Mus musculus: one gene and its partner. The protein of the gene in region 2 interacts with the protein of the main gene of each other region in a biochemical or structural test. Links are inferred from orthologs where the notes say so. Each region holds a gene or a part of one and is shown on either strand. Other genes may lie near its edges.

Evidence for each region.
Region 1: the proteins of Flna (region 2) and Asb2 form a complex in vitro, tested with the Homo sapiens proteins (3 studies listed by BioGRID, with this or other methods). The link is inferred for Mus musculus from reciprocal best matches to the Homo sapiens genes FLNA and ASB2.

The regions. Positions count from the first base shown.
Region 1 is NC_000078.6:103,328,434-103,332,083, forward strand, and holds part of Asb2 (ankyrin repeat and SOCS box protein 2), read right to left. Parts: intron 2,084-3,650; coding exon 1,912-2,083; intron 1-1,911. UniProt on the Homo sapiens protein: Substrate-recognition component of a SCF-like ECS (Elongin-Cullin-SOCS-box protein) E3 ubiquitin-protein ligase complex which mediates the ubiquitination and subsequent proteasomal degradation of target proteins.
Region 2 is NC_000086.7:74,229,440-74,233,089, reverse strand, and holds part of Flna (filamin-A), read left to right. Parts: intron 1-99; coding exon of another isoform or gene 100-123; intron 124-2,336; coding exon 2,337-2,584; intron 2,585-2,693; coding exon 2,694-2,789; intron 2,790-2,931; coding exon 2,932-3,034; intron 3,035-3,123; coding exon 3,124-3,264; intron 3,265-3,580; coding exon 3,581-3,650. UniProt on the Homo sapiens protein: Promotes orthogonal branching of actin filaments and links actin filaments to membrane glycoproteins. Anchors various transmembrane proteins to the actin cytoskeleton and serves as a scaffold for a wide range of cytoplasmic signaling proteins.

The DNA of each region.
Region 1 (3,650 bases), on a different chromosome or scaffold from region 2:
TCTTTTGCCAAGCCTGGTTTTGAGGCTAACACCTCCCACTTTTGTTGGATCGGCACACAGTAGGCTGTTAGAAGGCAGTTAGAAGTCTGCGTCCTAAGCATTGACAGCAGGCCCTGTCCTGCTGCACCAAGCTAGAGGAGACCTTAGTCAACAGGTCATGGTGGCCTGACCCTTGGCCAATAGAGAGGTGCTAAGTTCCTGGAACTCATTCAAGCCCCATGTGGAAATCCTGGCACCCCGCCCCAGGCCAGCCCAGTGCCATTATCTAAGGTGGGGCCTGAATCCGGGCTGTACAGCCAAGGTCAGGAGCCCCTGCCTTCAAGGGTCCTTGGCCAAATTCTTTTCCTGCTCACAGGGTCTTTGGAAATCTACCTGCTCTGCTATAAGACACTGGAAATGGATGACAGTAAATGTGCCTAAGGAATGGGGATGCTAGGTTCCTCTATCAGCCATGCCCCAACACACCCCACCCAGTGTGCTGAAGAGCAGGCACATCTGGCAAATGGCCTCAGGCTCCAGGCGTTTTGCTCCGGGCCAGGGGTAGGCAGGGTGTTTTGGCAGGTGGCTGAATGCCTATGGAATGTCACATCAAATCCCTTCTCAGCCTGTGGGAGGCCAGCATGGGGAGGGCCTCTGATGCCACATGCCCAGGGTGTGAGCAGAGAACAGTGGCCCAGCCAGGTGGCAGGGGCTGCTGGGAATCCAACTTTAACCCTTCGCTGGGAAACCCTCAGGAAAGCAGTTGTATGCATGTACAGGAAGGTCTGGGGCTCTGGGGGACAGTGTAGGAACCTTTGGGGCCTTTGGTTCATTTTCAGTGGCTATTTCTCTTCCCCTATCCATCCCCTGCCTCACTGACAGTGCCAAACATAATCTGTTCTCTTTCTTCTGAGAGTCTGAGAAGTTAGAGCACCCCCCAGTGTGGCACCCAGGGCACACGGCATGGCTTTTCTAGTAACTGTGAATTACTGTCTCACTATACCACTGTGGTGAATGTTTCCTTTGAAAACGATTTTAAGGAAAAGGATATTTTAAAACTAGTGAAAGTTGTCTAAAATCAAAAGAAAGCTTGCCAGGGTCTGTGACTGGGAACTGCCCTACCAGTAGAGGATATCCTAGGCATGGGGATGGTCCCACTGAGGCACGAGGCTCTTAGCTACCTGGTCAGTTTCTTCTTCTATAAAAGGGGCTGTCCCACAGCTCGGCAGTGAGTCCACACTTTAGAAATGACCAGTGTCCATCTGCAAGGACAACCAGCATCCCCCTGACCACCCCACCCAATCACCCTTTCCCACCCACAGTGTATAGGTGCTAAATTCCTAGCAATTGGCTCTCAGATGAGTGGGGTGTTGGAGGTGCCAGAGAAAAGCTCACTCCATGGTGTACAAGCTCCCACCATGGTCAGTGTTGTGCTACATGTGAGTGAACATGTTCCTGGGGGGCGGGGCTGCAGTGGACACATGAGCCCAGACAGGCAGCCTCCAGTGCGCTCTGCTCCAGCCCTTGCCAGGTCCCTTCTACGGGGGCCAGCATGGAGCTTAGGTCTGGATGATCTTTCATCACATCATGAATGCGTGTGGACTGTTCATCTCTGTGTTTGTGGGGGGAGAGATTTCCCTCCCACAGACTGCTTCTGGAGAAGTTGAGCTTCTCCCACCCGAGCATGATGTTTAGGGAGGTACCCGGTGACTGGTCCCTGTCCGTTGCTGTGAGCATCCTCAGCAAACAGCTAGCTGACCTGCAGGTTATCTCTGCATCCTCCCACCCCACCGAAAAACAAACCAAACCAAACAAGCAAACAAAGAAAGAGTCCTCTCAGGGGCCATGGAGATCAAGTGCCCTGCCCCGCCCCTGCCCTCCTTAGGCATCCCCGGAGAGCTGTGCTATACACAGTAAGGGCTATGGACTGACCTATAGTTGCCCTTCTTGGAGGCAACATGCAGGGGGAGCAGGCCGTCCTTGTTGGCTTTGTTAGCATCGGCGCCCTGAGAGAGAAGAAACTCTACCACGTCTTCATGCTCATTCTTGCTGGCCTCGTAGAGGGCTGATGCACTGTCACTGGCCTGCGTGTTGATGTCTGCACCTGGAGAGGGAGAAGCAAGCAGAGCCATGAACGATCAGTGGTTCTGCCATAATTTAGTGCCACTGTGTGGTGAGCACCTCCAAGCTAACCACTGGGTGAGTAGGCTGGGCCATGCCTACTGCCTGAATCCAGGAGGACCCATCAGACGTCAGAGCTAAGGTAAGTTCCTTGTCACAAAACCTCGTCTACCCTGTTTCTCTGAATCCATATGGAGTCCTGAGAGGCCAAGTTTTTCATCACAGACCAGGACACAGGACATGAGAGGACTCAGGATAACCCACTCATAGATGTGAAGCTACACTTGAATGTATGGTCGGAAGATGTATTCTAGACTAGGCTTTCAGCCCTCACTACGGGCCCTAGGCTGTGTGCCCTGGCAGCAGCAGCAGCTCCAGCTAGGTACAAAGCTCCTTAAAGGAAATCCTACTGACTGTTAGTTGGATTTGGGGTTGATGGTTGTGGTTGGTTGTGGTTGGTTGGTTGGTTGGTTGGTTGGTTGGTCTGAGGCATCATCTTATGTAGCCCAGGCTCGCCTTGAATTCCATATGTAGCCAAGGATGGCCTTGAACTTTTGAACCTCCTGCCTCTAACTCTAGAGTGCTGGAGATTGGACCCAAAGCTTTGTATAGGATAAGCAAGCACTACCAACTGAGCCACAACCCCAGTCCTGGGCTTGTTTTGTTCTCCATCTGAAATAGGAAAGAACTGGCTTCTGCTATCTTCTTAAGGAACCATGGAGGGACTGGAGAAATGGCTAACTGGTGAGGACCATGTACACATCTTACAGAGGACACGGGCTTCAGTTCCCAGTACCCACAGTGGCTCACAACTACCTGTAACTCCAGCTCCAGGAGATCTGATATCTGTGGGTAGTTATACATCACACACACACACACACACACACACACAAACACCCATACACACACACACACACACACACACACTTTAAAAAAATCATGAAAATAAATTTAAAAAAGAAACTAAACACTGAGCCATGCTTGTAGGAAGGGGGCTGAAGCCTGGTAGCAGCTTCCTGCCATCATCTTATCTTTTACATCTTCTGCATCTCTTGGAGTGAGAGAGCAAACCGGTGTGCACATGATTTCTCTGTAGGCTCCACACTGTAGACGAAGATTAGCTGAGATAGCTCAGTAAAGGCTGAGATCAAAGGCTTGTGTCAGCCACAGCTCCTCTGTCAGAGCCATCTGCTCCTCTCACCCTTTCCGATGACTTCATTTTCAGCAGCGGAGGACTTGTCCTGGCCTTCTGAGAAGAGCACCAGGCCTTGAGGGCTCATCAGGACCATGAAAGTTTCTGTACCATGACTCCCAAGCTCTGGGGCCTTAGACAGCTTTTAGAAGCCTCAGTTTACCTGCTTGTTAGTCAAGAGTCATAGTCCTGCCCTCTCCTGTTTAGGGTGAGGTGTAAATAACATAACAGAAACATAGCACCAGCCTCAGAAGCCACTGCTGTCTAGACAGAGCTCAGGGCAGAGACTGTCCCTTCCCTCAGAGGAACAGTATAGGGACACCTTTAACAAGCCCCTGGGCCTCATGCTTAGGCTCCC
Region 2 (3,650 bases):
TGCAAGGGCTCGCTGCTTGGGGCGGCGTGTGGGAGTGGGGGCCGCCCCCTTGAGTGACTCACCTGACCTTTCTCCTTGCTCTCTGCCCTCTCACCTCAGTGTCAATCGGAGGTCACGGGCTAGGTAAGCTGCTTGCTGGGGCCACTCCCAATGCCCCTACTGCCCAGAGAGGCAGTTTCCTTTCCTCTTCATTGCTAATTCATTCCCAGGACAGTTCCAGCTGCAGCTCTAGGCAAGGACAGAGTTGGGGAGGCTGTGAAGACAAGGCCGTGGGCTGGAGGGTCAGGGCCCAGGGAGGTTTCTGGAGCTAAGCATGAGCGCTCTGGTTCTCCCCTCTCTGGGCCTCCATTTCCCCATCTGAGAACTTGGGTTGCAGCTGAGAGCTTTGGGGTGAAGTATATCCTAGGAGGCACCTCAATGGGGATTTTGGGGTCTGGGGATCTTGGCACCCCAGGGAAGCACCTGGGGATGGGCAGCAGGTGCTTCCTTCTCACAAGGGCTCCTGTATGGGCTCCTGCATGGGCTCAGGGGACAAGGTGGTTTCCTCCACCCACTGGGAGTCTAGCCCTTGTCAGATCCACAGACTTCCATCCCCGCCTCCCAGGGGCCTCTGTGTCCTGGGCTGGGGGAGGTGCATGAGTGGGTGGGGCTGGGTGGTGGTACAGTAGTGCCAGTGTCAACTGCTTGGGTGGCCAGCATGGCAGGGCCTGGCCCAGCCTCAGAGCTCCAAAGTGCATTCTGCGACCAATCTTTTTTCCTTCTTTCTTCCCATTCCCCCAGCAATGATGTTAGACAGTCCCTATCAGGCAGGTTTGTCTGCCCTAAGACAAAGACATCCTAGGAATACTGATATGAGACTACAACTACTTGCAGACTTCTGAAGGCTATCAGACAGGCATTTGGGTAGATGGCCAAGGACAGGATTTAAGATAGCTAGGTTTTTGTGGCAAAGGCTAGATTATTTTGTAGAATAGTTTATGGGGTTGAAGATGGCATATATGTGTACACAGGGGAGGACAGAATTAGGCCAGGAACTTGGAGTGGCCTCAATTTTCTTGGCCATTATGTGTGGAATGGAGTCAGGGCGCCCAGCCAGGGAACTTAAATCATCTTTGGGTAAGCCAGAAGGTTGTCTTGGGCCCGGTCAGTGGCTATTGGGACATTAAGCAGTAGCCCAATTAGCAGGTGTACTTTGAGGATGCTATGGTCAAGACTTGCTGATCACCTGGAGCTTGGGTACAGAAATGAGAAATCAAGAAGCTTTCAGAAGGCCCAAATCATTAGCTAGATGATACAGGGCAGGCATAAAGGAAGTTCATGGCAGCATGGGCAGCAGGCAACTAGGGTAATAGCTGAAGTTGCTATCTGAGTCTCATGTAGCCAGTGTGAGACCAAGGTCGAAAAGGGGGCTTGGTGGCAGGCTGGCAAGGGGGCCCCTTAAACTTGGTCCTCATATAAGTTTGGTGTTCCTAGCTGCTTTCCTTGTGGGAGGCTGGGCTGCAGGGGTGCTCTGGCTGCCAGGCCTTACAATCCACAGCTCCCAAGCCTCCACAGCTGAGCCCCAGATCATAACATTACTGTCCTTTCTCTTTTCTTGGGCACTATGGGGCCCTAGAGGCTGCTCAGATGCTCTACCCTTGCAACCCTGCAGTGGTGGCTTGGGACTCCTGTCTCCTGTTCCTTGGGTGCTGCCACTGCTTTGCCAAGCCTGCTGTGATGCACTGCTAACCCTTCTACTTCCCTGCTGCTTGCTCTTGCCTGTGCCAGGCTGTGCTATGCTGCCTCTCATTGCAAGCCTCTGGTTGAGCAAGCGTTCTCAGTTGTCAGGAGACTCCAGTTTCACCTTCAGGCCTCGGGGTTGGGTAGGGAGGAAAGTTTCACATCCCCCACACTGCAGCAGGACTCTGCCTCACTTCATCCACACATAGCACTGGGGCCCAGGGCCAGACCACGGGTGTAGGTAGCCATGGGCCTGGCCAGAGTGCCGGTATAAGTTAGCATAGGCCATGATACCAGCTGAGGCTGAGTTGGCAGAGGAGGTAGCAGTAAATGCTTGTGCTGGGATTGGATGGTCCCTTACTTGTCTTCCCAGGTATCTGGGTACCACTTGTTGGTCTTCTCTCATAAAGGGGCTTGAGGTGGTCAGGAGAATCCTTCCTGCCTTCTGAGAAACCACTCACCATCGTAGCTTGGGGTATGGGTTGGGCTAGAGATTGGGGCTGGCTGTGCTTGGTTGTAGCAGTAAGAGGCCTGGATGGGTAGCAAGCTGATGGGGGTAGCCAAAATGTTCGGCTCACCTGCTGGCTCCCCTCTGGGGATTCACTCTGCTTTACCAGGTGCTGGCATTGGCCCCACCATCCAGATTGGGGAGGAGACGGTGATTACTGTGGACACAAAAGCAGCAGGCAAAGGCAAAGTGACTTGTACTGTGTGCACACCTGATGGCTCAGAGGTAGACGTGGACGTGGTGGAGAATGAGGATGGCACCTTTGACATCTTCTACACAGCTCCCCAACCGGGCAAATATGTCATCTGTGTGCGCTTCGGTGGCGAGCATGTGCCCAACAGCCCCTTCCAAGTTACAGTGAGAAGAGGCCAAGGATGGGTGGGCAGGGAGATCTGGGAAAGTCCTAGCCTGTCCTTCCAGGTCCCTTTGTGACAACAGTCTCCAACCCTCTCACTTTGCCCCACAGGCTTTGGCTGGGGACCAACCAACAGTGCAGACCCCATTAAGGTCTCAGCAGCTGGCTCCACAGTATAACTATCCTCAGGGTAGCCAGCAAACCTGGGTAAGGCCTGGGCCTGGTCTATTATTCAATTTGTCTAACCCATAGGGACACTTGAAGCTGGCCACCTGGATGTCTCATGTGGCCCTGAGAAACCCCATATCTTCTCATAGCCCCTCACCTGATTCTTCTGTCTCTATTGCAGATTCCAGAGAGGCCCATGGTGGGCGTTAATGGGCTGGATGTGACCAGCCTGAGGCCCTTTGATCTTGTCATCCCCTTCACTATCAAGAAGGGGGAGATCACTGGTGAGTGAGGGCTAGGAAGAAACTTGGAAACTAGTGATGGCCAGGGTGTTCCAATCTCCTGGCCTGACATTGAAACCACTGCTCTGTAGGGGAAGTTCGAATGCCCTCAGGCAAGGTGGCCCAGCCTTCCATTACTGATAACAAAGATGGCACTGTTACTGTACGTTACTCACCCAGTGAAGCTGGCCTGCATGAAATGGACATTCGCTATGACAATATGCATATCCCAGGTGGGTGTATTGCCTCTTGTCCACTCCATCCTAGGCCCGTGTTGCTATCATCTCAGGAAGAACAGGCTAGGGCTGGGTTATAGGTCAGTTAGTAGAGCCTAGCATGCATCAGGCTCTGAATAAACTAGGTATCATGGCACATGCCTGTAATCATAGCCCTCGAGGCAGGAGGATCAGTGGTTCAAGGTCATCCTTAGCTTCATAGTAAGTTCAAAGCCAGCCAGAGAAACATAAAGACCCTGTTTCAAAAACAGAACCAAAATGACTAACAAATGAATGAGTCTGGTATTCCATGTGGCTTCTATTCTGGTCTCAGGAAGCCCTCTGCAGTTCTATGTTGATTATGTCAACTGTGGCCACATCACTGCTTATGGTCCTGGCCTTAC